4 linked regions of the Anolis sagrei genome follow. The main gene of each other region encodes a partner of the protein of the gene in region 3 in a complex. Links are inferred from orthologs where the notes say so. Each region holds a gene or a part of one and is shown on either strand. Other genes may lie near its edges. The genes, in order: CDC25C, CRTC1, YWHAZ and PRKCE.

Region 1 (7,915 bases), on a different chromosome or scaffold from region 3:
AATCCAAAACAAAGTACTTCGCTGAAGCTGGATTTTTTTTTTTTTTACAATATGCTTTGAATAGAAAGAGGAAAGTGAAGGCTCTAATTCCTGTGGAAAGTCACATTACCAGGATTAGGCAGGAGATTAAGAGACAATAACTCAGGTTGACCTTGAGTGTCTTAAGGTCATTTCTGATTTATGGCAAACTGCTTTGAGTCCTCCCGGGGTGAGAAAGGCGGTACATAAATACTGTAAATAAATAAATAATAAATAAACTTATCAGAAGGGGTTGAAAAAGATGAGCTGGTTGACAAGACTTGTGATAAGAAAATATATTACCATTAGGTGCATCGACACTATAGAAATAATAGTTGACATCACTTTAACTACCATGGCTTGATGTTAAAGAATCATAGGACTTGTAGTTTGCTGAGGCACCATCACTTTTTGGCTGAGAAGGCTAAAGACCTTGCAGAACTACAGCTTCCATGTTTCAATAGCACTGAGCCATGATTATTGTGATGTCAAACTACATTAAATCTGCAGTGTAGTTGCACAGTTATATTTATTGTGGAAATGATTAAATAGCAGATAGTATCAGAACTGTGTTTCTGGAAGTGATTATTACCATTTTCCAAAGTTTTTGAGGACTGGCTGAAGTTGAAGACAATTTCCTCTTCCCCGTTACTGAGATTGGAAAGATCTAGGCAGCGTCTTGGAGTGTCCCTGCAAAAATATAGTGAAAGGAATAAGTAGATAGAAACACAGTGTATAGAACTCCAGTGTGTTTTGGCTCTGGCAGTGCTGGACCAGAACCTAGGTTAGGAGATCGAGTGTCTAGTTTCCACTGGCCCATAGGAGTCATATTTGCCAACCACCCTGCATGAATACCAAAATTTGTGGATCTCAAGTTCCAGTATATCAGTGGTTCCCAGCCTGTGATCCGTGGACCACCAGTGGTCTGCACAGTTGCAATGAGAGTGACTGGTCTCTTGAAACCCTCTTATAGTACCGAGGCTTATTAAATATGGTTTTCTGTGGGTGAGCAGATGGCAACTACTGGATGGCGTATGTTCTGTACCAGGAACTAGAGCTGATGTGGACTATTCAATGCAATTTTCTGAATCAGCACCCCAAATAACCAAACTGAATCTAAAGTTGACCAAAAACTGATTTGTAACCCTTTTGGTATTAATGTTGGAGAGTGGTCCCTGGTCAAAAAAGGTTGGGAACCACTGCATTATATACAATGGCGCAGTAAAATCAAGGTTTATCTAAAATGGCAAAATCAAGATCTTGGAACCTGTGGATGCAGAATCCATGGATACAAAGAGCTGACTGTATTTTCCATTCCACATAACTGCCCTGAACATATTTACCCTCCTAGTGTGCTGAGGTTCCCAAAATCCCAGGTTATACTCAAGACTGGAGTAAGAGGTAGTTGTGGAGAAAGAGGTGGAGAGATCTCTGATTCCCGGAAAGTATTAAGCACCGTCCTGCAGCCAGATCGAAACCCAAGGTCTGAACGAAGCACATCCGCTTCAGTGGGAGGAATGCTCTCTGACATGATGAGCAGACACCTGAAGACAGACATATACACAACTTACTATTACTCCTTTCCCCCCTACTACAGATTGAGCATTCCATATTCAAAAAACCCAAATCTTCCAAAATTGTCCACACGGGTGGCTGAGACAGGGACATCTGTTCTTCCTGAAACAAACTTTTTCTCATGCACTAAATTAGCAAAAATAATTCCCCTGACAGTACATTGTTCTGCTCCTTTGACACCATTTAAGGCAAAATACAGTTTGAGCATCCCTTGTCTAAAATTTCATAATCCTCTAAAATCCAAAAAGGCCCACCAGGGTGGCAGAGATAGCAACACCTTTGCTTTTTCTGACATTGATTCAATGTACACAAACTTTGTTTCATGCACAAAGTTATTTTTATTTTACAATAATTGCATATAAAGTTCCTTTTTGCCTATGTGTGTAAAAGTACACATAAAATATAAATGAATTTTGTGTTTAAGTTTGGGCCCCGTCACCAAGATCTTTCATTAAAAGGTAAAGGTTGTCCCCTGACATTAAGTCCAGTCATGTCTGACTCTGGGGTGTGGTGCTCATCTCCATTTCTGAGCCGAAGAGCCGCCGTTGTCCATAGACACCTCCAAGGTCATGTGGCTAGCATGACTGCATGGATATTTCATTATGTATATGTAAATATCCTAAAATATGAAATGCTTCTGTTGCCACGTATTTCAGATAAGGATGATTCAACCTGTATAAACAGAAAGAAACAGCACAAGCACTAGAACCACGAATGCATCTATACTGAGCATGGGCAAACTTCGGCCCTCCAGGTGTTTTGGACTTCAACTCCCACAATTCCTGGCCTTAGGCCTTTTCCTTTCCCCCCTCAGCCGCTTAAGCTTAAGCAGCTGAGGGGGGAAAGGAAGGGGCCTGAGGCCAGGAATTGTGGGAGTTGAAGTCCAAAACACCTGGAGGGCCAAAGTTTGCTCATACCCATCTATACTATAAAATTAATGCAGTTTGACACCACTTTAATTGCCATTCCTCGATGCTATGGGATCATGGGAGGTGTAGTTTTGCACACTTTTAGCCTTCTCTACCAAGAGAGCTGGTGCCTCAACAAACTACAAATCCCAGAACTCCATAGCAGTGGTCCAGGAGAATTAAAGTGGTTTCAAACTGAATTAATTCTAGGTGTAGGTGAACCTATGTCCAGCTACAGAGATAAAAGGTATTATATGGTCGAAACCCACCTTAAGGGGTGTCAGTGGTGCTTTAGAAAAGTCAAACCCGTTGGATCTTGTCCACTAACAAGGCTGGCTGGCTGCAGGTTCTGCAATTAAGACAGCAATACGAATTGGCAGCCCCCAGTTCCGCGCAGTCTCAACAAGTCCTTCAAAAAGTCCCCCCTTCCTTGTGGACAAACTGACCCACCCCGCCCTTCCCGTCAAGAACACAATTGAATGTCAGACTATTCAATTTGCCGCCCTAACATCAACCAATCACAAGCCACGCCCTCCGCCCTCCCAGCCAATCAGCGAAGCCCAGAAGAAGAAAAGCTCCGGCTGTCCTTTCAACAGCTTTCTCATTGGTCCGATGCTCGCAGTGACGTCAAGGAGGAGGGCGCGTGGAAAAGCTTATTGGAAGAAGCCGCGGTAGGCGGGGACTTCCTGATCCTTTTTGTTATTTTTCGGCGGTGGAGGATAGCCAACCTGATCCAGTCCAGCCAATCACTGAACAGAGGACTTACCCAACCCGATGCGATTGGTTGGAGATGCGTTCCAGGCTCCGCCCTGCCTTTCACGAGGAGGGAGATTTAAACCGTGGAGGTGGAGACAGACTCCTTAGAACTACGCCGGTGATGTTCTTGGTGGATGATGCAGTGTGGACGAATTGGGACTGAGAGCTGGGCTCCCGGGAGCAGCAGGTAACAGACTGTGGAAGGAGAGGCAGCCTAGCAGTCCTAAACAGGGCTAAGGGAAGATAGTTATTGATTTACGACATTTATATGCCGCCCTTCTCACCCGGAAGGGGACTCAGAGTGGTTTACAAGATATATATATATAGATACATACATACACACACACACACACATATACAGATACACTATATTATGTTATTAGCATAGTACAATTTCAGTATTAAATATTACTATATTGTACTACACCATTATACTTTGGCCACATCATGAGGAGACAGCAAAGCCTAGAGAAGACAATTATGCTGGGGAAAGTGGAAGGCAAAAGGAAGAGGGGCCGACCAAGGGCAAGATGGATGGATGGCATCCTTGAAGTGACTGGAGTGACCTTGAAGGAGCTGGGGGTGGTGACGGCCGACAGGGAGCTCTGGCGTGGACTGGTCCATGAGGTCACGAAGAGTCGGAGACGACTGAACAAATGAACAACAACAACATTAGTAATTACATGTAATATAAATATTTAATTATAATATCATATTATTATAATTATGGAGAAGAGCAAACCACTGACCACCTGCTGCAATGCAACCTGAGCCCTGCTACATGCACAATGGAGGACCTTCTTGCAGCAACACCAGAGGCACTCCAAGTGACCAGATACTGGTCAAAGGACATTTAATCAACTACCAAACCTGCCAATTTTGTTATTTGTCTGTTTGTTTGTTTGCTTTTGTTCTGTTAGAAATGTAATACAATTATCTGGTTGCCCCTGACACGATAAATAAATAATAAATAAATAAATAGTAGTATATTGCATTACATTATATTATTATAAATATTCTGTTAGTCTACATTATATTATATTATACTGCCCTGAGTCACCCATGGGCTGAGAAGAGCAGTATATAAAAATGGTAAATAAATAAATGAATAATATTATATTAATGTATTCTCGAAGGCTTTCATGGCTGGCATCGCTGGGTTGTTGTAGGTTTTTCGGGCTATATGGCCATGTTCTAGAGCAGGGGTCCTCAAACTAAGGCCTGGGGGCTAGATGCGGCCCTCCAAGGCTCCCGCTCAGGGTCAACCTAAGTCTGAAATGACTTGAAAGCACACAACAACAACAACAACAATAATCCTATCTCATGAGCCAAAAGCAGGCCCACACTTCCCATTGAAATACTAAAACGTTTATATTTGTTAAAATTATTCTTCATTTTAAATATTGTATTGTCTTAAGTGTTTGGGTTTTTTTGCACTACAAATAACACATGTGCAGTGTGCATAGGAATTCATTTTTTTTTCAAATTCTAATCCAGCCCTCCAACAGTTTGACAGACTGACCTGGTCCTCTGTTTAAAAAGTTTGAGGACCCCTGTTCTAGAGGCATTTTCTCCTGACGTTTCACCTGCATCTATGGCAAGCATCCTCAGAGGAGTGAGGTCCTCACTACCTCTGAGGATGCTTGCCATAGATGCAGGCGAAACATCAGGAGAAAATGCTTCTAGAACATGGCCATATATCCCAACAAAACCTACAACAACCCAATATTATATTATATATTATATTATTAGCATAGCACAGGAGACAAGGTGGAACTGCCCCCTGCCCCCCTCCTCTTCCCTTTTCCCCCTAGTTTTGAGGTGCATCTACTCCAGGCATAGGCAAACTCTATTATTTATTTATTTATGATATTTCTATCCCGCCTTTCTCAAAGCCGAAGGTGACTCATGGTGACTCAGCCGCTTAAGCGGCTGAGGGGGGAAAGGAAGGGGCCCGAGGCTGTTAGGAATGATGGAAGTTGAAGTCCAAAATACCTGGAGGGCCCAAGTTGGCCCAGACCTGATCTACACTGTAGGAATAAGTGGAGTTTGAGGCCACTTTAACTGCCATGGCTTGATGCTATGGAATCATGGGAACTGTAGCTCAGTGAGGCTCTAGAGCTCTGTTTGGTAGAAAAAACCTAAGATCTTGGAAAACTACAACTCCTAGGTTTCCATAGTCTTGAGCCATCGTGGTTAAAGTGGAGCCAAACTGCATTAATTCTATAGTATAGATGCACACATGTGCCCCAAATAGCCTTAACCTGTGATGCCTTTGGAACTTCAACTCCCTGAAGTCCCAGCCAGTTTGGCCTATTGTCAGGGATTCTGGGAACTCTAGTCCAAAATACCTGGAGGACCAAAGAGTGAGAACCACTGGTCTAAACTGGACAATTGGGTTTTAGCAGGGGCTCAAAATAGTAAATGTTTGTTTTCTAGTTGCAGGAGAAGAAATGTCCTCTAACTCTGGCTAAAGACTATTTGTGTATTGGGAGAAGAACCTAGCAGTAATCATTTGAAATTCTATGCCCCACCTTTTCAAGTAGGAAGTGTTTCATTTATGGGTAGTTTCTGATAGCAGATCGTGATTTCAAATCAGGTGCATCTTTTTGAAACATCCTGCATTTTAAACAAGCACTAACTTGTGGAAAGAATGGATGTAAGAAGCTCCTCTGCTCCTTTCGGACTAATTCTAGTTTTGCTTTTCTTAACAGCATCATTTCTCACCATAAGGATGGTTACATTTAAGGCTTTGTTCCTGTTATGAACAATATAAAAAGTGGTGAAAAGTTAGTCTGGAAATTGGCTTTTCAATTTTGTTTTTATTGTCTGGACCAGGGGTCCACAAACTTTTTAAACAGAGTTTTTTGGCCTAGAACTCCCAAACATGAATGCCTATGCACACCGCACATATCTTATTTGTAGTGCAACACCCCCCCCCCCACACACACACACTTAAAAACAATACAATAATTAAAATGAATGATTTTTAATATAAACTTACTAGTATTTCAGTGGGAAGTTTGGGCCTGCTTTTGGCTGATGAGATAGGATGGTTGTTGTGGTTGTTGTTGTGTGCTTTCAAGTTGTTTCAGACTTAGGTTGACTCTTAGTGAGGGCCAGGTAAATGATGTTGGAGGGTTGTATTCGGGCCCCGGGCCTTAGTTTGAGGACCCCTGGTCTGGACCAACACAATATCTGCGACTTGTTACTCATTTACAGGAAACTGCTTGGATGATCATCTTATGCATTGGGTGTTCATAAAACAAATGTCTAACCTTAAGAGCTGCAGCTCACTGCTAGTATGTCACCTGTTTTTGAAATAGACTAGTAGATCACCAAAATAGGGGTAGGATGAAAAAAGACGATGAATATTTGTTGTTTGCCTTCAGGTTCTTTTTGACTTATGGTGATCTTATCATGGGGTTTTCTGTGGCCAAAAAGGGAACTGAACTCTGGTCTTCAGAGTAATAATTCATAGGTGATCAGTTGTGGCGGAGTAAGATAGTCTTCCAAGGGTAAAGTCTTGGTGGTGGTTCCATAACTGACTGTAGACACCTGTTCTGGATGCTCATGGTTGTTCACAACGAGGACACAGATTTCCAGCAGGAAGGCGGTCACAGCAAGGGTTTGCTTGATGCACCTTCCTTGGTGCATTTCTCCTTTTCGCTTTCTGTTTGAACCTCATTGAATTCACAGCACTGTTGGTAACAAGCTGACCTCCAGTCGAGGAATGCTTGAGGACCAGGGCTTCCCAGTTTTTTGTGTTTGTTCCACATTTTTTTAAGATTAGCTTTAAGCCCATCTTTAAATCTTTATTTGCTGTCCACTGACATTCTGTTTTCCATTCTTGAGCTGAGACTAAAGTAACTACTTTGGGAGATTGTGACTGGGTATTCAAACAACGTGGCCAGCCTAGCCAAGTTGATGGAGGACCATCACTTCAGTGCTGGTAGTCTTTTCTTCTGCCAGAACACTGACATTTTCTGCCTGTCTTTCCGAGCAATTTGCAAGATTTTTTTTGAGGCAATGCTGATGGAATCTTTCAGAAGTTGAGAGTGGCATTTGTAGACGGTCCATGTTTCACAGTAAACGGTCAATAGCTTTGTAAACAAGCATCTTGTTCTCCCTACAAATGTCCTGATCTTCAAACACTCGTGTTTCATTCAAAAACTGCAGCACTTGCAGAGCTCAGACAGTGTTGCACTTCATTCCAATGCTCAGACCACTCTAGGTTCATAGACCACTTCACCATGCTGAATATAGCATGGCTATAAACATCAACAATGCCCCTCTTTGGCTTTGGTTCTGTTATGTGCCTTCTAGTCACCTGTCAACTTACCATCACCCCATGAATCTCATAAGGTTTTCTTAAGGAATCCTCAGAGGTGGTTTTGCCAGTTCCTTCCTTTGAAATAGAGCCCACAACACCAGGCATTGGTAGTCTCCCATCCAAGTATTCATCAGGGCTTGCTCTGCTTAGCTTCCAAGCTCAAAAAAGATCTGGCACCTTTAGGATATTTGGTAGGTTTGCTTAAATGTATAACAGCCTTGGCTGCCAAATAGAAACTGGCATACCTGCTGAAAATGTTGAAGCAGAGAAGGTTACAGTTATTGATTTTAGCTAATAAATACGTTCAGGAAATGTTTGATGTTTC
Region 2 (7,061 bases), on a different chromosome or scaffold from region 3:
AGTTCCATGATTCAATTCCAAACTGAAGGTGTTAGTTGTTTTTTTATGTGTTATTATTTAGCAGAGTTATGACATGCCCTTCTCACAATATGGAAACTCACAATGAAGTTACCCCTTCATCCTCCACCTCTGCTCAAACGTATGGATAGATAGATAACATATAAAACAGTAATATTATCTATATGCATTCTTGAGTCCTTCTCACAGGTTGAGTATCCCTTATTGGACATATATTCCAGATCTTAGACATAGGACCCAAGTCTAGGCATGAAATGCATTTGTGTTTCATTGAAGGTAATTTCTGGATTCTGGATAAAGGATGCTCAACCTGTATCTACAGATCACTCCTTTTCTGAAGGGAAAGAAGGAACAAGAAGTTGTTAAATGTACAGCAACAGACCCACCTTTCTCTCAAGCATATGGTTTTGCGCATAAGTTGTGGGAAATGGGAAGCAATCCATGTAAATCAAGGAGGGTGGATACAGAATATAAACCGAGAAAAGGGATTTGTTTCTCTAAACCAAGGAAGGGGATGCTTGCCTATAAACTGAAGAGTAGGACTGAATCCATATCAACTCAGAAGTGGGATTTAATCCATATAAACCGAGGAGGAAGAGGTTTATTGCATATAAATTGAAGACTGGGAATTAATCTATATACACTGAAGGTTTAGTATATAAACTAAGAGGAGAGATGCAGCCTATAATAAGCTGGGGAATGGGAATTACTGCATATGACTTGAGGAATGGGAATTATTGCATCTAAATTGAGGGTTTAGTATATAAACTGAGAGGAGGGATTCTCTCTATAAACTAAGGAGTGGAGATTCATGCATATAAGTTGGAGAGTGGGAATTAACCTATATACATATTCATACACACACACACACAGTAGGGGGGTATACTCCTATACATTCAGGAGGGGTATTCAACCTATTATTATTATTATTATTATTATTATTATCAGACCCTTATACATTCAAAGGGGGAATCCTTGCATAAACATTGAGGAATGGGAATGAATCTGAGAAAGGAGGGAATGTAACCATATAGCAACAGCAGCAATAACAGCATCATATGCCCCTATACAGCCAGAAGGGGAATTCAACCATAATAATAATAATAATAATAATAATAAATCATAGACCTCTATGCATTAATGAGGGGAATTCAACCTAATAATAACAATAATGCAATATCATAGATATAATTCTATACTATCATATTAGGAGGGGAATTCAATCATATAATAATAATATCATTAATAATAACAATAATTCACAGACCCCCATACATTAATAAGGGGAATGCAACCTAATAGTAATGATAATTTAATTTCAGCTATCCCTATACATTCAGGAGGGGAATTCAACCTAATAATAACATTTTTTGTGTGTCAGGAGCGACTTGAGAAACTGCAAGTTGCTTCTGGTCCAGCAGTCCTGCTGGCACAAGGGTTTAACCCACTGCGCAAGGGTTTAACCCACTGGATAAAAAGTAATACTAACAATGATGATATATAATAAATATAATAATACTGATAATTTAATTTCAGCAATCTCTATACATTCAAGAGGAGAATTCACCCATGATAATATATTATAGATATAATAACTATAATATAGTATAATATCAGGAGGGGAATTCAACCATATAATAATAATGATAATAATTAGGTTCTTGTAGGTTTTTTCGGGCTATACGGCCATGTTCTAGAGGCATTTCTCCTGACGTTTCGCCTGCATCTATGGCAAGCATCCTCAGAGGTAGTGAGGTATCCTCACTACCTCAGAGGTACCTCAGAAGTATCCTCACTACCTCTGAAGATGCTTGCCATAGATGCAGGCGAAACGTCAGGAGAAATGCCTCTAGAACATGGCCCTATAGCCCGAAAAAACCTACAAGAACCTAGTGATTCCAGCCATGAAAGCCTTCGACAATACAATGATAATAATAATAATAATAATAATAAATCATAGATATAATATGGTATCGTATTACAAGGGGAATTCAACCATATAATTATATCATAGATATACCAACAACAACAAAAACAATAATATATCATAGACCCACAAGATCTTGGCCTGCACTTGAAAACAATCAGCGCTGACAAAATTACCATCTGTCAGCTGCCAAAGGTCACCCTACTGGGATCTGCACACATTATTTACCGATACATCACACAGTCCTAAACACTTGGGAAGTGTCCGACGTGTGATCCAATACAAATGTCCAGGAGATTCCACATAAACATTAGGAAGAACTTCCTGTGAGAGCTGTTCTGCAGGGGAACTCTCTCCCTGTCCGGGAGTGTGGTGGAGGGTTTGAAACAGAGGCTGGATGGCCATCTGTTGGGGGTGCTTTGAATGAGATTGTCCTGCTTCTTGGCCGAATGGGCTTGGACTGGATGGCCCACCATGTCTCTTCCAACTCTATGATTCTATGTTTCTAAAAGCCAGCTGAGTACTAAAATCTTGTTGTGTATCAAATAATAATATTAATATATCATAGAGCCCTACACATTCAGGAGGGGAATAATAATAATATACGATAATATATGAGAAGAAATCCTTCTAAAACGGGGCTCTAGCTGAGGAAGGGAGGAATTGAACCCTGTTGTTTTGATTTGCGCCTGCCTGCTTTCCCCCGACCTGGCCTCCCCGCCCATCCCTGAGCGTTCCCCGTTAGTTCCCCGGGGCGTAGGCCGTAGCGCCCCCCGCGAAGCCCCGTTTTCCTGAGGGGAGAGGCTGGGGCGGGCGTCCCCTGCTGGGCGTCCCCTGCCCGCTGCTGGGCCCGGAGGCCTTCCTTACCCGGTGGGCCCTGGTTAGGCTGAGGTCCTTCATAACCTCCTCGAAGGCCGCCGTCTCCTCGGCCTGCTTCTGGTTGTGGAGCGCAATTTTCTCGCTGAATTTCCGCGGGTTGTTCGACGAGGCCGCCATTTTAGCCCCGTCCGCATCCCTCCCTCCCCCCGTCCTCCGGGCACCACTGCACATGCGCGTCTATATCCTTTCCCCCCCACACACACGCACGCACTGCGCACGCGCCATCGCGGAGGAGGCGGAGGCCCTCTTTTATTTCCTCACCCCTCACTGCGCACGCGTGAGAAGGGGCCGACTTCAGGAAAGGCGCATGCCTCCAAGCGACAAAGCTTTCTTGCTTGCGCATGCGCAAAGGGTTCCCTCGCCACTATATATACATAGCGCATGCGCAAAAAGACTTAGATGCTATATACACACATACACACACAGAACAAGCAAAATGCTTACTCGGCTAAATACAGAGAACGCATGCGCAAAAGGCTTCCTACGTTCTATTTCGAGCGCGTGCGCAAAATGCTTCCTCTGCTATCTACACAGACAGAACATGGGCTAAAAGCGTCCTCTGCAATATACAGAAAGCGCATGCGTAAAAGGCTTCCTCCGCTAGCTGCACACACAGAGCATGCGCAAAGGGTTCCCCACCGCTATATACTCACACACAGCGATCATGCGCAATGGGTTACCCGCTGTACACAGAGCATGGGAAAAAGGCTTCCTCTGCTATATTCAAAGAACGCATGCGCAAGAGGCTTTCTCCGTTATATATAGAGCGCATGCGCAAAAGGCCTCCTCCGCTAAATACACAGAGCATGCGCAGAGGCTTCCCCGCTATCTACATAGAGCAGTCGGGAACCGTTACACTCCGATATATATACACACACAACGCATGCGCAAGAGGCTTTCCCCTGCTCTAAATATACACATACGCTCCTTTGAAGGCCCCATTTATCTTTCTATTTAAATAAGAATAAGTTTTCTTTACATGGATGGCGGTGATGATAATAATATCAGAGCTTTCTTTACATGGATAAAAAGTAATTATTACTATATTATTAAGTTATTATAGTTATTACCAAAGATTTCTTTACATGGATTATTTTTATCAACATCAGAGATTCCTTTGCATGGATAATACGAATAATATTAGAACTTTCTTTAGGTTTATTATTATTATCGGAGCTTTCTTTACATGGATATCAGAGCTTTCTTTATGTGGATAAATAATAGCATCAGAGTTTTCATGTTTATGATTATCATTATTGTCAGAGCTGTCTTCACAGACCTGTCAGCAGCTTATGACACTGTAAATCATCGCCTCCTCCTGAGAAAAATGTATACTATCACGAAGGGTTACCACCTCACCGGCTTCATAGGAAATCTGCTACAAAACAGGAGCTTTCTGGTTGAGCAGATGGCGAAAACAGAAGAACGGCATGCCTCAAGGGAGAGTGCTTGCTTCATCAATAGTTGACTTTTACACAAATGGCCAGTCACTGCCAGAAGGGACAGAGTTTCATCTATGCCGATGATAGTGCCATCACCACCCAAGCATGGAGCTTTGAAATGGTTGAACAGAAGCTCTCCAACACTTTAGATGGTCTTACTCCCTATTATAGGAAAAACCATCTGATTCCTAATCCATCTAAAATGCAGGCATGTGCTTTTTCACCTTATGAACAGACAAGCATCTCGAGCTCTGAGGATGACCCGGGAAGAAATCCCACTGGAGCATTGCAGCACACCCAAATACCTGGGAGTCACTCTGGACCGTGCGCTGACTTATAAGCACTGCTTGACAATCAAGCAAAAAGTGGGTGCTAGTAATATTATCATATGAAGGCTGAAAGCACAACCTGGGGATCACAACCAGACACAGTGAAGACATCTGCCTTTGCGCTTTGCTACTATGCTGCTGAGTACACATGCCCAGCATGGAATACATCTTACCACATTAAAACAGTGGATGTGGATCTTAATGAGACATGCCACATTATCACAGGATGTCTATGCCCAACACCGCTGGAGAAATTTTACTTTTTAGCCGGTACTGCACCACCTGACATCCGTCAGGAAATAGCAGCCACCAGTGAAAGGACCAAGTCATTGACATCTCCGGCCCTTCGTCTGTTTGGATACCAGACAACATGGCACTGCCTTAAATCAAGAAATAGCTTCCTAAGATCTACAGATATACTCACAGGAACAACTCTGCAAGCAAGAGTCCAAAAGTGGCAGGCTAAAACCCGGAACCTCAATCAGTGGCTGAGACTGGATTACAGACTCCCTCCTGGGTACACAGAAGGCTGGGTGACTTGGTGCTGAACAGATTGCTCTCTGGCATCATGAGATGCAAAGCCAATCTTAAGAAATGAGGCTACAAAGTGGAGTCCACAACATGCAAGTGCAGAGAAGAGCAAACCACTCTTACTACAATGCAGCATGAGTCCTGCCATATGCACAATGAAAAGCCTTCTCACAGAGGCGCTCCAAGTGGCCAGCTTCTATTCAAAGGAAATAGTATAATGCCAAGTTTGTAACTTTGTTTGTGGTTCTCCTATACGTTATAACTGTATTCTCAATTCGTTTCTGACACGATAAATAAATAAGAGCTTTCTTTACATAGATATTATTATTATTATTGTTATTAGTATTACCACAAGAGCTGGAGCCCCCAGTGGTGCAGTGGGTTAAACCCCTGTGCCGGCAGGACTGAAGACTGACAGGTCGCAGGTTCGAATCTGGGGAGAGGCGGATGAGCTCCCTCTATCAGCTCCAGCTCCTCATGCGGGGACATGAGAGAAGCTTCCCACAAGGATGATAAAAACATCAAAATCATCCGGGGCGTCCCCTGGGCAACGTCCTTGCAGACGGCTAATTCTCTCACACCAGAAGCAACTTGAAGTTTCTCAAGTCACTCCTGACACAACAAAAAAAAAACCACAAGAGCTTTCCTTAACCAGATTATACTATTACAATTATTATTTTATCATCATTATAATCATCCATGTATAGAAAGCTCCACCATACAAGTCAAAGCAGCTCTGTGCCAAACATGCTTATAGTGTGATCTTGGCATCCCATCTGTCATACAGACAACAGACACACTCAAACACGCTTGGAAATATCGACTTTAATGTTTACATTCGACAATACCCAACAGGGAGACGACATGCATGTTTCGGTGCCCTTGCTCTTTCCTTTTAGAGCTTCAATGATGACTTTAAAGCTGTATTCCAAATCCCACTCTATCACTAAAGAAAGACAGCCTGGCCATTGCTCTTTTAGGGACAAATAATGGCCAGATTCGGCCTCGATTTCTGCTGCAAAGGAGCAAAACTCAGCAGGGTTTCTTTAACTTAGCTGAAGCAGAGAGAAATAAAATGTATTATTTATTCCCTTTCTGGAGAGAAAAAAACAACATCGAAGGCCGTCCAATCAGCCTCTTACTGAGATCCCAAGGCACTGGAGGAAAGAAGAGAGGCCTGACTACTTTGGATAGAAATAAATAGGTAAATGATGTCATAGAAATACAGCAAAAAAAACCAGGTGTGCTTTTCAAGGAGGAAACAAAATAACAGGTATGAAACCAAGTATTTTTCGTTCCTTTATAGAGTCCCCACCTCCACCCCTCTTATAATTCTTATTGCTTTAAGTCAGGCATGGGCAAACTTCGGCCCTCCAGGTGTTTCGGACTTCAACTCTCATAATTCATAACATCCTATCAGCTGTTAGGAATTGTGAGAGCTGAAATCCAAAACACCTAGAGAGCTAAAGTTTGCCCACACTTACTTTAAGTGATTTGATTCACACAAAATGGGGATAAAGCCTTGGCCGAAGGAAGAGGAAAACCAACAGTAAAGGGAGAAGTTGCCATCCTCTAGTCAGGTTTGACTCATATTAATGTTTGCAGGTTCGAAAAGAGGAAGGCGTATGTTCATAAATAAAGGCGGAAGGGCCCAGCCGCCGAGATACAGCTTTATTTGGCATGCAGTGCATCTGGAGACCCAAGGGACGGCTGCGAGGGTCACCTCCGGGCCACGTCCTGTGGGAGGACGACTGGGGCACAGGCAATGCCCGCAAAGGACTCTGGGATGTGCAGGTCCCGCTCCCACTCATCGGTCTGGGTGTTGTACACCTGCACGATACTGGTGACGTTGTTGAGATGCCAGTTGTAACCCCCCACCACGTAAATGCGGTCCTCCAAGAGGCAGCAGCCGGCCTCTGACTGCCCAGCCCTCAT
Region 3 (8,006 bases):
CTCAGATAAGCAGATATTGTGGGATTTTCTCCCTTGATATTCTGGGTTATATGGCTGTGTGAAGGGCCCTGGGTCATCTGAGCCCACACCATCCCATGACCCAGTTCAAAGCAGATATTGTTGGATATTCTGCCTTGATATTCTGGTTTATATGGCTGTGTGGAAGGGCCCTGAGTGGGCTGAATTTCTCAGTGGGGAACAGAACCTAAACTGGCTTAATCCAGATCTCCAGTCACAAAATTGTACCTCTTCTTGCCCGAGGCAGCCTATCCCTGGGGAAGTTTAAGCCATCAATGTGTCCAGGAGACATCAGGTTTTACCAACCATCACCAGCAGTCTGAAACACTACCCACCCTCCTCCCTTTTTTATTTTATTCTGGAAGGGCCCTGGGTTATCTGAACCCACACTGCCATATAACCCAGTTCAAAGCAGATATTGTGGGATATTCTGCCTTGATATTCTGGTTTATATGGCTGTGTGGAAGTTGAGTTGAATCTCTCAGTGGGGAACAGAACCTAAACTGGCTTAATCCAGATCTCCAGTCACAAAATTGGCTGGATGGCCATCTGTCAGGGATGATTCGAATGCAATATTCCTGCTTCTTGGCAGGGGGTTGGACTGGATGGCCCATGAGGTCTCTTCCAACTCTTTGATTCTATTATTGTACTTCTTCTTGCCTGAGGCAGCCTATCACTGGAGAAGTTTAAGCCATTAATGTGTCCAGGAGACATCAGGTTTTACCAACCATCACCAGCAGCCTCAAACACTACCCACCCTCCTCTTTTTTATTTTATTCTGGGTTATAAGGTTGTGTGGAAGGGCCCTGGGTAATTTGAGCCCACACTGCTACATAACCCAGTTCAAAGCAGATATTGTGGGAGATTCTTCCTTGATATTCTGTGTTATATAGCTGTGTGGAAGGACCCTGGATTATCTGAGCCCACACCGCTACATAACCCAGTTCAAAGCAGAAATTGTGGGATATTCTGCCTTGATATTCAGGTTTATATGGCTGTGTGGAAGGGCTCTGGACTATCTGAGCCCACACTGCTACATAACCCAGTTCAAAGCAGATATTGTGGGATATTCTTCCTTGATATTCTGTGTTATATGGCTGTGTTGAAGGGTCCTGAGTTATCTGAGCCCACACTGCTGCATAACCCAGTTCAAAGCAGATATTGTTGGATATTCTGCCTTGATATTCTGGTTTATATGGCTGTGTGGAAGGGCTCTGAGTGGGTTGAATTTCTCAGTGGGGAACAGAACCTAAACTGGCTTAATCCAGATCTCCAGTCACGAAATTGTACTTTTAGGCCATCAATGTGTCCAAGAGACATCAGGTTTTACCAACCATCACCAGCAGTCTGAAACACTACCCACCCTCCTCCCTTTTTTATTTTATTCTGGGTTATAAGGTTGTGTGGAGGGGCCCTGGGTTATCTGAGCCAACACTGCCATATAACCCAGTTCAAAGCAGGTATTGTGGGATATTCTGCCTTGAGATTCGAGGTTATATGGCTGCGTGAAAGGACCCTGGGTTATCTGAGCCCACACTGCCGTATAACCCAGAATCTCAAGGGAGAAAAATCCCACAATATCTGCTTTGAACTGGGTTATATGGCAGTGTGGGCTCAGATAAGCAGATATTGTGGGATTTTCTCCCTTGATATTCAGGTTTATATGGCTGTGTGGAAGGGCCCTAGGTGGGTTGAATTTCTCAGTGTGGAACAGAATCTAAAATGGCTTAATCCAGATCTCCAGTCACAAAATTGTACTTTTAAGCCATCACTGTGTCCAGGAGACATCAGGTTTTACCAATCATCACCAGCAGCCTCAAACACTACCCACCCTCCTCTCTTTTTTATTTTATTCTGGGTTATAAGGTTGTGTGGAAGGGCTGTGGGTTATCTGAGCCCACACTGCTACATAACCCAGTTCAAAGCAGATATTGTGGTATATTCTACCTTGATATTCTGGGTTACATGGCTGTGTGGAAGGATCCACAGACCCACCTATTTCTCCCGGTTTTCGCCAAGGAAGGAAGGAAAGAAGGGAGGGGGAGAGAGAGGGGGGGAGAGAGAGAGGAAGGAGGCGGCCTCTTGGCGATCCCTTCCTCCTCCTCCTGCGGCGGCCACACCCTTTCAAAAAAGCGCCCGAGATGAAGGAGTGGAGGCGGCGGAAGGAAGGGAGGCAGGCAAGGAGGGAGGGAGGGGGAGCAAAGAAAGGGATGGAGAATGGAGAATAGAATGGAGGAGGCAGTGTGCTCCCCAACATGGCGCCCCACCTCGCCTGCCTCTCCTCCAAATCCCTCCCTCCAAACTGAAGGGAAGAGGAGAGGAGGTCGGTGTGGGCACTTCCCCTTCTTCCATCATGCCTGAAGAGAGAGAGAAAGAAAGAAAAGAAAGAGAGGGAAGGAGGGAGGGAAGGAAGGAAGGAGGAGAGTCCCCCTCCCTCCCTTCCCTCCATCTTTCTTCCTGGCGAAAATAAGGGACACCGCCCTGAGGGCTTCACCTGCCTCAGGGAAAGGGAAAAAATGGCGCCCCCGCCTCGCCCACTTAAAACCCCCTCCCTCCAAACAGAACCATGTTCCTCCCTTCCTCTCGATCTGAGGGAGGGAAAGGACGAGGGAGGCACCTGCGCCCCAGCAAGAGAGGGAATGAATGGCGCCGCCGACGCCCTGAGAAGACAAGGCCGCGGCTCTTCCCTCTTCCGACGCTCCCCCCCCCCCCCCCCCACTTCTCCTGTTTTGCGGGCTCTTCCCGCCACTGCCTTCCCTCCCCCCCGGAAAGAAAGAAAGGAAACGATAGACAAAGGAAGCGGAGGGAGGGAGGGACCGAGATGGGAAGAGCCCACCCTCCTCGAGAGGCCGTTCGTTACCTTGCGGGGTCGACACTACGAGAGAGTCCCTTTAGGCGGGTGACCGGCGCGGACTGTGCCTCCCTCGTTCGCAGCAGCCTCTCTCGCTCTCTCTCGCTCTCTCTCACACACACGCACGGGGTCTCCGCCAATCACCGCGTCGCAACGCACGGGCAACACAGAGCCCGTGACGTCAAGCGGCGCCATGGCAACGGCGAGCGGGCGGTAGAGGGAGCGAGAGCGCGCGCGCCCTGGAAGGCGCCTACACTTCCCCTCCCTCCATTCGCGCGCGCGCACATACACACACTCTCTTTCTCTGCCTCTCGCGCGCGCCTCACCTCTTTTTCCGCTTTCCAAAGCGATGGACTGCACCAACCGCCGCGAGAACGAGCGCGCGCGCTCGCCTCACTAGGACACTTCTCTCTCTCTCTCTCCTTTTCCCCTATGCTGATGATCGTGCCATTTACCACTCAAGCAGAGAGCTTTGAGATGTATTGTCGAAGGCTTTCATGGCTGGGAATCACTCAGTTCTTGTGGGTTTTTTCGGGCTATATGGCCATGTTCTAGAGGCATTTCTCCTGACGTTTCGCCTGCATCTATGGCAAGCATCCTCAGAGGTGACCTCACCTCTGAGGATGCTTGCCATAGATGCAGGCGAAACGTCAGGAGAAATGCCTCTCGAACATGGCTCTATAGCCCGAAAAAACCCACAAGAACTGAGCTTTGAGATGGTTGAAAAGAAGCTCTCCAAAGCTCTAGGTCAGCATTTCTCAACCTGGGGGTCGGGACCCCTGGGGGGGGTCGTGAGGGAGTGTTAGAGGGGTCGCCAAAGACCATCAGAAAACACAGTATTTTCTGTTGATCATAAGGGTTCTGTGTGGGAAGTTTTGGCCCAATTCTATCGTTGGTGGGGTCAAGAATACTCTGATTGTAGATGAACTATAAATCCCAGCAACTACAACACCCAAATGACAAGGTCTATTTCCCCCCCCAAACTCCACATTTGGGCATATTGAGTATTTGTGCCAAGTTTGGTTCAGATTCATCACTGTTTGAGTCCACAGTGCTCTCTGGATGTATTTGAACTACAACTCCCAAACTCAAGGCAATGCCCACCAAACCCTTCCAGTATTTTCTGTTGGTCATGGGAGTTCTGCGTGACAAGTTCCGTTCAGTTCCACTATCGATGGAGTTCAGAATGCTCTTTGATTGTAGGTGAACTATAAATACCAGCAACTACAACCCCCAAATGACAAAATCAACCCCTCCAACCCCACCCGTATTCAAATTTGAGCATATCAGGTATTTGTGCCAAATTTTGACCAGTGAATGAAAATACATCCTGCATATCAGATATTTATGATGATTCATAATGGTAGCAAAATGACAGTTTTGTTATGGTTGAGGGTCACCACAACATGAGGAACTGTATTAAGGGGTCACTGCATCAGGAAGGTTGAGAACCACTGCTCTAGGTGCTCTTACTGCCTATTACAGGGAAAACGAACTGATCCCTAACCCATCTGAAACACAGACGTGTGCTTTTCATCTTAAGAACAGACAAGCATCCCGAGCTCTGAGGATTACCTGGGAAGGATTCCCACTGGAGCATTGCAACACACCCAAGTACCTGGGAGTCACTTTGGACCGTGCTCTGACCTACAAGAAGCACTGCCTGAACATCAAGCAAAAAGTGGGCGCTAGAAACAACATCATACGAAAGCTGACTGGCACAACCTGGGGATCACAACCAGACACAGTGAAGACATCTGCCCTTGCGCTATGCTACACTGCTGCTGAGTACGCATGCCTTTCACCTTAAGAACAGACAAGCATCCTGAGCTCTGAGGATTACCTGGGAAGGAATCCCACTGGAGCATTGCAGCACACCCAAGTACCTGGGAGTCACTTTGGACCATGCTCTGACCTACAAGAAGCACTGCCTGAACATCAAGCAAAAAGTGGGTGCCAGAAACAATATCATACGAAAGCTGACTGGCACAACCTGGGGATCACAACCAGACACAGTGAAGACATCTGCCCTTGCGCTATGCTACTCTGCTGCTGAGTACGCATGCCTTTCACCTTAAGAACAGACAAGCATCCCGAGTTCTGAGGATTACCTGGGAAGGAATCCCACTGGAGCATTGCAACACACCCAAATACCTGGGAAAATATAGACCCCTGACTGATCCCACAGCAAGCTGGCTTCGGAAAAGGCAAAAGCTGCACATTGCAAGTGTTGAACCTGACTCAGCACATAGAAGATGGCTTTGAAAGGCAGCAGATCACAGGAGCTGTCTTCATAGACCTGTCAGCAGCTTATGATAGTGTGAACCACCGCCTCCTCCTGAGAAAAATGTATAATATCACAAAGGACTACCACCTCACCCGCCTCATAGGAAACCTGCTACAAAACAGGAGCTTTTTTGTTGAGTTCAGGGCCAGAGAAGCAGATGGCGGAAACAGAAGAACGGCCTGCCTCAGGGGAGTGTGCTTGCTCCATCCATGTTCAACATCTACACAAATGACCAGCCACTGCCAGAAGGGACGGAGAGTTTCATCTATGCTGATGATCGTGCTATTACTGCTCAAGCAGAGAGCTTTGAGATGGTTGAAAAGAAGCTCTCCGAAGCTCTAGGTGCTCTTACTGCCTACTACAGGGAAAACCAGCTGATCCCTAACCCATCTAAAACACAGACATGTGCCTTTCATCTCAAGAATAGAGAAGCATCCTGAGCTCTGAAGATCACCTGGGAAGGAATCCCACTGGAGCATTGCAGCACACCCAAATATCTGGGAGTCACTCTGGACCATTCTCTGACCTACAAGAAGCACTGCCTGAACATCAAGCAAAAAGTGGGTGCCAGAAACAATATCATACGAAAGCTGACTGGCACAACTTGGGGATCACAACCAGATACAGTGAAGACATCTGCCCTTGCGCTGCGCTACTCTGCTGCTGAGTATGCATGCCCAGTGTGGAACACATCTGACCACACTAAAACAGTGGATGTGGTTCTTAATCATCATCATCATCATCTTTGAATAACTTATTAATTGCCCTCCATCCGAGAATGCTCTAGGCGATTTACAGCTAAATTATAAAAGATAAAATACATATATACAAAAATTAAAAATCAACAGAGATCGAATGCTCTAGTAAAAACCCAGGTCTTAAGTGCGAGAGTAAAAGGCCCTAAGTCACGCATGGCTCTCATGTAGGGCGGCAAGGAATTCCACAAGGCAGGGGCAGAAATAGAAAAAGCCCTGCGCCTGGTCCTTTCCAAGTGCACTTCTCTAGGATCCGGTATATGGAGTAAGTCATGTTGGGCTGGTCGTTGCGACCTCTGATGATGAGAGAAGGAGAGGCGGTCCCTAAGGTACGATGGACCCTGGCCGTAAAGAGTTTTAAAGGTCAGAACTAGCATTTTATACAGGCCACGGTACTCAGTTGGAAGCCAATGTAAATGTAGCAGCACTGGTGTTATATGGCATTTCATGGGCGTTCTTGTGAGTAGCCTGGCTGCCGCATTCTGAACAATACGAAACTTTTGGGTCGTAGACATTGGAAGGCCAACATATGTATTATATACATTGTATATACATATAATATTTATAATATTGTAATGTAATGTAATGCAATATAATACTACTACTAATAATATGATATTATAATTATATATTTATATTACATGTAATATTACTAATAATATTACAGTATAATTGATATAGTGCAATATAGCAATATTTAAAACTGATATTGTACTATGTTAATAATATATTGTATGTATATATACCTTGTAAGGCGCTCTGAGTCCCCTTCGGGGTGAGAAGGGCGGCATATAAATGTCGTAAATAAATAAATACAGGGCGTTGCAATAGTCCATGCAGTAGACATGCCGCATTATCACGGGGTGTCTGCGCCCTACACCACTGGAGAAATTACACTGCTTAGCCTGTATTGCACCACCTGACATCCGCCGGGAAGTAGCAGCCAATAGTGAAAGGACCAAGGCAGAGACATCTCCAGCTCATCCCCTGTTTGGGTATCAGCCAGCACGTCAACGACTTAAATCTAGAAATAGTTTTCTAAGATCTACAGAGACACTCGCTGGAACACCTCAGCAAGCGAGAGTCCAAAAGTGGCAGGCCCAAACCCAGCACCTCAGATGAGAGACTCCCTCCTGGGCACACAGAAAACTGGGCGACTTGGAAGGCGCTGAACAGACTGCACTCTGGCACCACGAGATGCAGAGCCAACCTCAAGAAATGGGGCTACAAAGTGGAATCCTCGACATGCGAGTGCGGAGAGGAGCAAACCACTGACCACCTGCTGCAATGCAACCTGAGCCCTGCTACATGCACAATGGAGGACCTTCTTGCAGCAACAGCAGAAGCACTCCAAGTGGCCAGATACTGGTCAAAGCACATTTAACCAACTACCAAGTTTGCAAAATCTATGGGTTTTTTTTGGTTTTTTTTAATCGGTGTGTTTGTTTTGTTCTGTTAGAAATGTAATACAATGGTATGGTTGCTGATGACACGATAAATAAATAAATAAATAAATAAATCCTCTCTCCCCCCCCCCCCCCCTTTCCTTTCCCTTTCCCAACTCTCGCGCTCTCGTGCGCGCGCTCCCTCATCGGGAGCGCGCGCACCGCCTCTCCTTTCCTCCCTCCCTCCCCAACTTCCTCCACTCCCCTTCACCCCTCCCACTCACTGCAGAGCGCGTTGGCTCGCGCATGCGCCGCACGCACCCGCCGCTCCTCTCTCTCTCTCTCTCTCTTCTTTTCTCTTCCCTCCCTCTCTCCTTCCTTCCCAGTTCAGGCTGCGAAGGAGATGGACACCTCCTCTGCTTTCTCCTTCTCGCCCTCTTTTTGTGCAGAAGGCGGGCAAAAGGATAATACAGGCCCACCAAAGGAGACAAGAGCATCCCCAGCCTCCCTTCCCTTCTCCCTCCCTTCACACAAAGTCAGAGAAACGGCCTGCTTCCAACTCGAGACGCCTCCTCCTCCTCCTCCTTTCCGGTCTCCGGCCTGCAGAGGCCTTGAGCCAAAGCTCAGTCATTCAAGGCCACTGTGAGGGAGGAGGAGGAGGAGGAGGAGGAGGATGGGATAGAGACGTGGCCTTCAGGGGCGCAGCTACA
Region 4 (6,907 bases), on a different chromosome or scaffold from region 3:
GAAAATGTAGCTACTCTTTTGCTAAGCTATTTGTGATTATCTCAGGAGATTTAGTTATGACAAACGTTAGGGCTAGATGGTCTTTGGGACCCTATAGAACTGTATGATTCCATGCCAGTGCGCTAGATATTACTGGGGAATTAAAGACCTGGGGGGGGAGGGGGACCTTGGTATTTATTTTGCCATTGTGCTAAAGCTGCTCAGCAAAAGACTGTCTTGATCAGGCATGGGCAAACTTGGGCCCTCCAGGTGTTTAGGACTTCAACTCCTACAATTCCAAACAGCCTCAAGCCCTTAAGTGGCTGGGGGGGGGGGGGGGGAGGAAGGATCCTGAGGCTGTTAGGAATGGTGGGACTTGAAGTCCAAATCACCTGGAGGGCCCAAGTTTGCCCATGCCTGATCGAAAGTCAAACACTGGTTGGGCAAGCATAACCCTGTAACCACCAGAAGGCACCAGGAGCCCAACCTAAGAGTCACTCATGTTCGCTTATGCTCTGGAAAATTTAGAAATAAGTACATGTCTAGGTAAGCAAACACTTGTAAGGGCCCCTTGGTGGTGCAGTGGATTAAACCACTGAGCTGCTACAGTTGCTGACCAAAAGGTTGGAGGTTCGAATCCAGGGAGAAGAATGAGCTCCTGCTGTTTGCCCCAGCTTCTGCCAACCTAGCAGTTCGAAAACATGCAAATGTGAGCAGATCAATAGGTTCCACTTCTGCGGGAAGGTAACGGTGCCCCGTGCAGTCATGCGGGCCACTTGATCTTGGAGGTGTCTACGGACAACACCAGCTCTTTGGCTTAGAAATGGAGATGAGTATCACCCCCAGAGTTGGACATGACTAGACTTAATGTTAGGGGAAACCTTTACATTTTATTTACTTGTCTGCTTACTTAAGAAAAATATTCGGAATCGCTTGCATGAGAGACATGTGCAAATAAAACTGGTAACTGTCAAGGCTAAAATATTTTCACTCAGTGGGGAGGACAGGATTGAGTGTGCCTCCATGCTCACATGCCAGACTTGGAAGCCTTGAAAAACACATCATCCAGAGATGTACAATGTGGGCACCTGCCTGACCACCATCTCCACCTGCTTTCACCGTCTCCACCTGCCTTCCAAGATGTGGCATGTCACCGACACATCTGTCAAACAAAGAGTGATATACCACTGAGCTCAAAAGCCATGTATCTAGACTGACAGATAAACCAACCCAGACCGACACGGATGCGCAAACGGTCTGGCCACTCACCCAGTCCTCGAAGTGGCGGCTCCCATTCTGCAGCAAGTCTTCAAACTGGATCGTACAGTTGGCCACAAAATCGTCGTACCCAATGGGGGCATCGTGGAAAACGGCCATCTCGATCTTCCGTCCGTTGTTCACGTCCGTGACAAACTCATCATTCCATGCAGGGCTGTTGGTCTTCTGCTTGGTGGAAGTCTGCCCGATCCTGGAATCGTCCACATTGAGGGCAATGTACGGGTCCAGCAAGAAGGTCTGGGGCTTGGGACCCACGGCATGGCGGAGTGACCACGCGGTGGGCTTGAGATTGACGGCTTCGCAGATCTTGATTTTCAGCATGCCATTAAAAACCACCATGGTGAGATGGCTTCACTTGGGACTCTGTGTCCTGGTCCTGGTCGTCGGCCTCCTTCCCCCCCTTGGGACGAAAAGCACACTCTGTGAAGCCAGGAGCGAGATCAGTGTGGAGGTTCCTCCAATAAATAAGAAGGCGGGCTTCGGCAAAAAAAAAAAAAAAAGAAGGGTTCTGGCAGAAAAGCAGCCTGAGAGTAAGGGGGTTCCTTTTGGTTGCTTGCTACCTATGTTGAGTTAGCCTTTCCTCTTGCGACACCCAGTGAAGACATACATGCATGCATACATAGACATACATAGGGGAGACTGAGACTCTTTGCTAGTGTGTGTGAGAGAGAGACAAAAACAAGGAGGGGAGGGCGCTCTACAGTCCCTGGTGTGCAGAAATCCCAAAATGCACAATCAAGAGGAGGGTGGGTGCATTTATTTTTTCACACAAACACACACACACACACACATGGACTTTCCTCCTCTTCCCCTCCCCTCTTCCCTCCCCCCCTTTCTCTCCCCCACCCCTCTTTAGAGCATAATCCTGGATCAAGTCTTCCTTCTGCAGCAGCAGCAACAACAACACCAAAAAAGCAATCCGGCGTCCTTGCAACGCTCTAGTGCTGTCTTGTCTGGGTGTGCAGCAGGAGAAGAAACAACACAAGAAGGGAGGGGAGAGGAGGGGAGGAAAGGGGGAAGGGGGGAGAAGAGAGAGAGAGAAAGAGAGAAGGGAGGGGAATCTCAGAAACAGAGACACACACAGAGAGAGAGAAAGAAAGAGCCCTCCTTCGCCACCCAAGCCAAACACCCAGCCCTGCCTCCTTGACGCAGCCGCCCGATTTCTTCCTTCCTTTCTTTTTTGGCTTGAGAAAAAGGGGAGGGAGGAAGAGATCAAAAAAGGGGGGGAAATCTCCCAGTCCGGAGAGCCTTACATCCGCCTCGGCTGTTGCTGCTGCAGCCGCTTCCTCGCCGCCGCCGCCGCCGCCTTCTTCTCGGCGTCCTCCTCTTCCTCTGCCTCCAAGGCCAAAGATCCAGTGGATCGGATCCAAGGCATGGGGAGCCACTGATCCGGATCGCTGGGGGGGAAGGAGGGGAGGAGGGAGGGGGCAGGAAAGGCGTGGGGATCTCTCTCTCTCTCTCCCCCTCTCTTGCTGCGTTTCCTTGTCTCTCTCTCTCTCTCTAATTAATATATTTTCTTAATGCAACAGCGCTCCACCCCGCAACGGCGTTGGTTGCCTGGCGCGTTGGGTTGGGAAGGGAAAAAGAAGCGCGTTGGGTTGGGAAATGGGGAGGACAGGGAGGGGGGGCGAGTGTAGATCGGGCTGATCTCCGAAGCGTTCCCCCCCCTCCACCTCGGTGTCTCTGTCTCTCTGTGTGTGTGTGTTTCTCTCCAGTGCAGGAAATGCGCAAAAGACGTCAGGGGCGAGCGATGTGTGCCTCTGTGTGCGCGCCGAGAGAGAGAGAGAGAGAAAGTTTTTGCCTCTTGGGGGAGCCGTGCGCTCTGGGCCAGGCACACCAAAGTTGGGGGGGGGGGAGTGTGGACAGGGGGCTTCTCCTTTCACTTGGGGGCAGATTGGAGGCGAGGAGGAGGAAGAGAAGGGCGCACCTCTCTTTCTTTCTTTCATTCTTTCTTTCTCTCCTTCTGTTTCTTTAGGTCAGTGGTTCTCAACCTTCCTAATGCCACGACCCCTTAATACGCTTCCTCATGTTATGGTGACCCCCAACCATAAAATTAGTTTCATTGCTACTTCATAACTGTCATTTTGCTGCTGTTATGAATAGTAATGCAAATGTCTGATATGCAGGATATATTTTCATACACTGGACCAAATTTGGCACAAAGACCCAATACACCCAAATTTAAATACTGGTGAGATTGGGGGAGGGTATTGATTTTGTCCTGTGGGAGTTGTAGTTGCTGGGATTTATAGTTAAACTACAATCAAAGAGCATTCTGAACTCCACCAATGATGGAATTGAGTCAAACTTGGCACACAGTTCACCTATAACCAGAGAGCACTGTGGACTCAGACAATGATGGATCTGGACCAAACTTAGCACAAATACTCAATATGCCCAAATGTAAACACTAATGGGGTTTGGGGAAAATAGACCTTGACATTTGGGAGTTGTAGTTGCTGGGATTTATAGTTCACCTACAATCAAAGAGCATTCTGAACCCTGCCAACAATTGCATTGGGCCAAACTTCCCACACAGAACCTCCATGATCAACGGAAAATGCTGTGTTTTCTTGTGGTCTTTGGTGACCCCTCTGACACCCCCTCGCGACCCCTCCAGGGGTCTCAACCCCCAGGTTGAGAAACACTGCTTTAGGTCTTTCTTCTTTCCTCCCTCCCTCTCCTTCCCAATGGTTTGGGGTCGATTCCAATAGCAATAGGAACCCCCTTGGCTCTCTATTGTTGAAGGCTTTCATGGAATCACTGGGTTGTAGATTTTCTGGCTGTATGGCCATTTCTAGACCAGTGTTTCTCAATCTTCCAAATGCTGCAACCCCTTAATACGTTGTGATGACCCCCAACCATAACATTATTTTTGTTGATACTGACCAGGTGTGCCTTGGTTTGACCACACCTGGAATCTTGTGTCCAATTCTGGGCACCGCAATTGAAGGGAGATATTGACAAGCTGGAATGTGTCCAGAGGAGGGCAACTAAAATGAGCAAGAGTTTGGAGAACAATCCCTATGAGGAGCGGCTTAAGGAGCTGGGCATGTTTAGCCTGCAGAAGAGAAGCCTGAGAGTAGACATGATGAGGGCCATGTATAAATATGTGAGAGGAAGCCACAGGGAGGAGAGAACAAGCTTGTTTTCTGCTTCCCTGGATACTAGGACGCGGAACAATGGCTTCAAACTACAAGAAAGGAGATTCCATCTAAACATTAGGAAGAACTTCCTGACTGTGAGAGCTGTTCAGCAGTGGAACTCTCTGCCCCAGAGTGAGGTGGAGGCTCCTTCTTTGGAAGCTTTTAAGCAGAGGCTGGATGGCCATCTGTTAAGGATGCTTTGAATGCAGTTTTCCTGCTTCTTAGTTGGGGTTTGGACTAGATGGCCCATGAGGACTCTTCCAACTCTATGATTCTATGATTCCTTCCCTCCCTCTCCTTCCCGATGGTTAGGAGTTGACTCCAATAGCAATAGGAACCCCCTTGGTTTTGTATTGTCGAAGGTTTTCATGGCCGGAATCGCTGTCATTTTAGTCATCCTCCTCTGGACACATTCGAGCTTATAAACATCTTCCTTCAATTGTGGTGCGCAGAATTGGACACAGTATTCCAGGTGTGGTCTAACCAAGGCAGAATAGAGGGGTAGCATGACTTTCCTGGATTTAGACACTATACTCTTATTTATGCAGGTCAAAATCCCGCTGGCTTTTTTTGCCACCACATCACATTGTTGGCTCATGTTTAACTTGTTGTCCACGAGGACTCCAAGATCTTTTTCACACATACTACTGTTGAGTCAGGCATCCCCCATTCTTTATCTTGGCATTCCATTTTTTCTGCCTTAGTGGAGCATCTTGCATTTTGCACTGTTGAACTTCATTTTGCTAGTTTTGGTCCATCTCTCTAATCCAGGGGTCCTCAAACTTTTTAAACAGAGGGCCAGGTCACAGTCCCTCAAACTGTTGGAAGGCCGGATTATAATTTGAAAAAAAACACGAATGAATTCCTATGCACACTGCACATATCTTATTTGCAAAAAACACTTAAAAACAATACAATAATTAAAATGAAGAACAATTTTATCAAATATAAACTTATTAGTATTTCAATGGGAAGTGTAGGCCTCTTTTGGCTGATGAGATAGGGTTGTTGTTGTTGTTGTTGTGTGCTTTCAAGTCATTTTAAGACTTAGGTTGACCCTGAGCGAGGGCCGGGTAAATGACCTTGGGGGGCCGTATCTGGTCCCCGAGCCTTAGTTTGAGGACCCCTGCTCTAATATGTTAAGATCATTTTGAATTCTTCTCCTGTCATCTTCTTTCTTTCTGTTATTCTTCCTTCCTTCCTCCCTCTCCTTCCCGAAGGTTAAGGGTCGACTCCGATGGCAATAGGAACCATCTTGGCTTTGTATTCATAGAATCATAGAATCCTGGAGTTGGAAGAGACCTCATGGGCCATCCAGTCCAACCCCCTGCCAAGAAGCAGGAAAATTGCATTCAAAGCACCCCTGACAGATGGCCACCCAGCCTCTGTTTAAAAGCTTCCAAAGAAGGAGCCCCACCACACTCCGGGGCAGAGAGTTCCACTGCTGAACGGCTCTCACAGTCAGGAAGTTCTTCCTAATGTTCAGATGGAATCTCCCTTCTTGTAGTCTGAAGCCATTGTTCCACGTCTTAGTCTACAGGGCAGCAGAAAACAAGCTTGCTCCCTCCTTCCTATGACTTCCTCTCACATATTTATACATGGCTATCATATCTCCTCTCAGCCTTCTCTTCTTCAGGCCAAACATGCCCAGCTCTTTAAGCCGCTCCTCATAGAGCTTGTTCTCCAGACTCTTGATCATTTTAGTTTCCCTCTTCTGGACACTTTCCAGCTTGTCAATATTTCTCTTTAATTGTGGTGCCCAGAATTGGACACAAGACGTTTGTTGAAGACTTTCATGGAATCACTGGGTTGTTTTTTGGGCTATATGACATCAAGTCTAGTCGTGTCCGACTCTGGGGGTTGGTGCTCATCTCCATATCTAAGCCGAAGAGCCGGCATTTTCAGTAGACACCTCCAAGGTCATGTGGCCAGCATGACTGCATGGCGTGCCATTACCTTCCCACAGAAGTGTTATCTATTGATTAGCTCACATTTGCATGTTTTCAAACTTCTAGGTGGGCAGAAGCAGGGACTAACAGCGGGAGCTCACCCTGCTCCCCAGGTTTAAACCACCAACCTTTCGGTCAGCAAGTTCAGCAGCTCTGCAATTTAAACCACTGCGCCACCAGGGGGCCTATAGATACCATATTCCTATTTATTTCTTATCTGCCTCTCTCTTTGGATTGAGGTGGGGAACAACCATAGAGCAATCATGTAGCATATGGAACCAATGTATGCATATTATGAAGCATATGGAACCAATGTATATTTAAATCAATGTTTTAATATTCATAACAAAAATAACCTGCAGACAGTGTTACCATCTGACTAATCAACAGGTCCTTCCACAATCTGGGGGTGGATGGATAAATAAAACTTAGTTCAGACTGACAAGTAAATATTCTCCCTGGGACCTGAGCGTACAGGGTGGATTACAGTTTTAGCAATATTTGAAAAAAATTCTGTTCCTGGTTTGAAAGTATTGTTTCCTGTTTAATTATGAA

What was found.
Region 1: the proteins of YWHAZ (region 3) and CDC25C are in contact, whole or in part, in a crystal structure (PDB 5M36), measured with the Homo sapiens proteins. The link is inferred for Anolis sagrei from reciprocal best matches to the Homo sapiens genes YWHAZ and CDC25C. Residues at the interface, in NP_001129171.1 of Homo sapiens: Lys11, Glu14, Gln15, Glu39, Val46, Lys49, Asn50, Arg56, Arg60, Val61, Ser64, Lys120, Arg127, Tyr128, Glu131, Gly169, Leu172, Asn173, Val176, Glu180, Asp213, Leu216, Ile217, Leu220, Asn224, Trp228; in NP_001274511.1 of Homo sapiens: Gly210, Tyr212, Arg213, Ser214, Pro215, Ser216, Met217, Pro218, Glu219, Asn220, Leu221, Asn222, Arg223, Arg225.
Region 2: the proteins of YWHAZ (region 3) and CRTC1 are in contact, whole or in part, in a crystal structure (PDB 7D8P), measured with the Homo sapiens proteins. The link is inferred for Anolis sagrei from reciprocal best matches to the Homo sapiens genes YWHAZ and CRTC1. Residues at the interface, in NP_001129171.1 of Homo sapiens: Asn42, Val46, Lys49, Arg56, Arg60, Lys120, Arg127, Tyr128, Glu131, Gly169, Leu172, Asn173, Val176, Tyr179, Glu180, Leu216, Ile217, Leu220, Asn224, Leu227, Trp228; in NP_056136.2 of Homo sapiens: Arg147, Arg148, Thr149, Asn150, Ser151, Asp152, Ser153, Ala154, Leu155, His156.
Region 4: the proteins of YWHAZ (region 3) and PRKCE are in contact, whole or in part, in a crystal structure (PDB 2WH0), measured with the Homo sapiens proteins. The link is inferred for Anolis sagrei from reciprocal best matches to the Homo sapiens genes YWHAZ and PRKCE. Residues at the interface, in NP_001129171.1 of Homo sapiens: Asn42, Ser45, Val46, Lys49, Arg56, Lys120, Arg127, Tyr128, Gly169, Leu172, Asn173, Val176, Glu180, Leu216, Leu220, Asp223, Asn224, Leu227, Trp228; in NP_005391.1 of Homo sapiens: Lys365, Ala366, Leu367, Ser368, Phe369, Asp370, Asn371, Arg372.

The regions. Positions count from the first base shown.
Region 1 is NC_090022.1:76,158,535-76,166,449, reverse strand, and holds the start of CDC25C (M-phase inducer phosphatase 3), read right to left. Parts: upstream 3,001-7,915; 5' UTR 2,771-3,000; intron 1,563-2,770; 5' UTR 1,550-1,562; coding exon 1,362-1,549; intron 709-1,361; coding exon 611-708; intron 1-610. Other genes in the region: oocyte-specific histone RNA stem-loop-binding protein 2-like, read left to right, coding at 3,392-3,444. UniProt on the Homo sapiens protein: Functions as a dosage-dependent inducer in mitotic control. Tyrosine protein phosphatase required for progression of the cell cycle. When phosphorylated, highly effective in activating G2 cells into prophase.
Region 2 is NC_090034.1:51,927,921-51,934,981, reverse strand, and holds the start of CRTC1 (CREB-regulated transcription coactivator 1), read right to left. Parts: upstream 3,009-7,061; 5' UTR 2,996-3,008; coding exon 2,813-2,995; intron 1-2,812. Other genes in the region: KLHL26 (kelch-like protein 26), read right to left, coding at 6,846-7,061. UniProt on the Homo sapiens protein: Transcriptional coactivator for CREB1 which activates transcription through both consensus and variant cAMP response element (CRE) sites.
Region 3 is NC_090024.1:30,751,135-30,759,140, reverse strand, and holds the start of YWHAZ (14-3-3 protein zeta/delta), read right to left. Parts: upstream 3,005-8,006; 5' UTR 2,879-3,004; intron 1-2,878.
Region 4 is NC_090021.1:27,413,655-27,420,561, forward strand, and holds the start of PRKCE (protein kinase C epsilon type), read right to left. Parts: upstream 3,017-6,907; 5' UTR 1,597-3,016; coding exon 1,249-1,596; intron 1-1,248.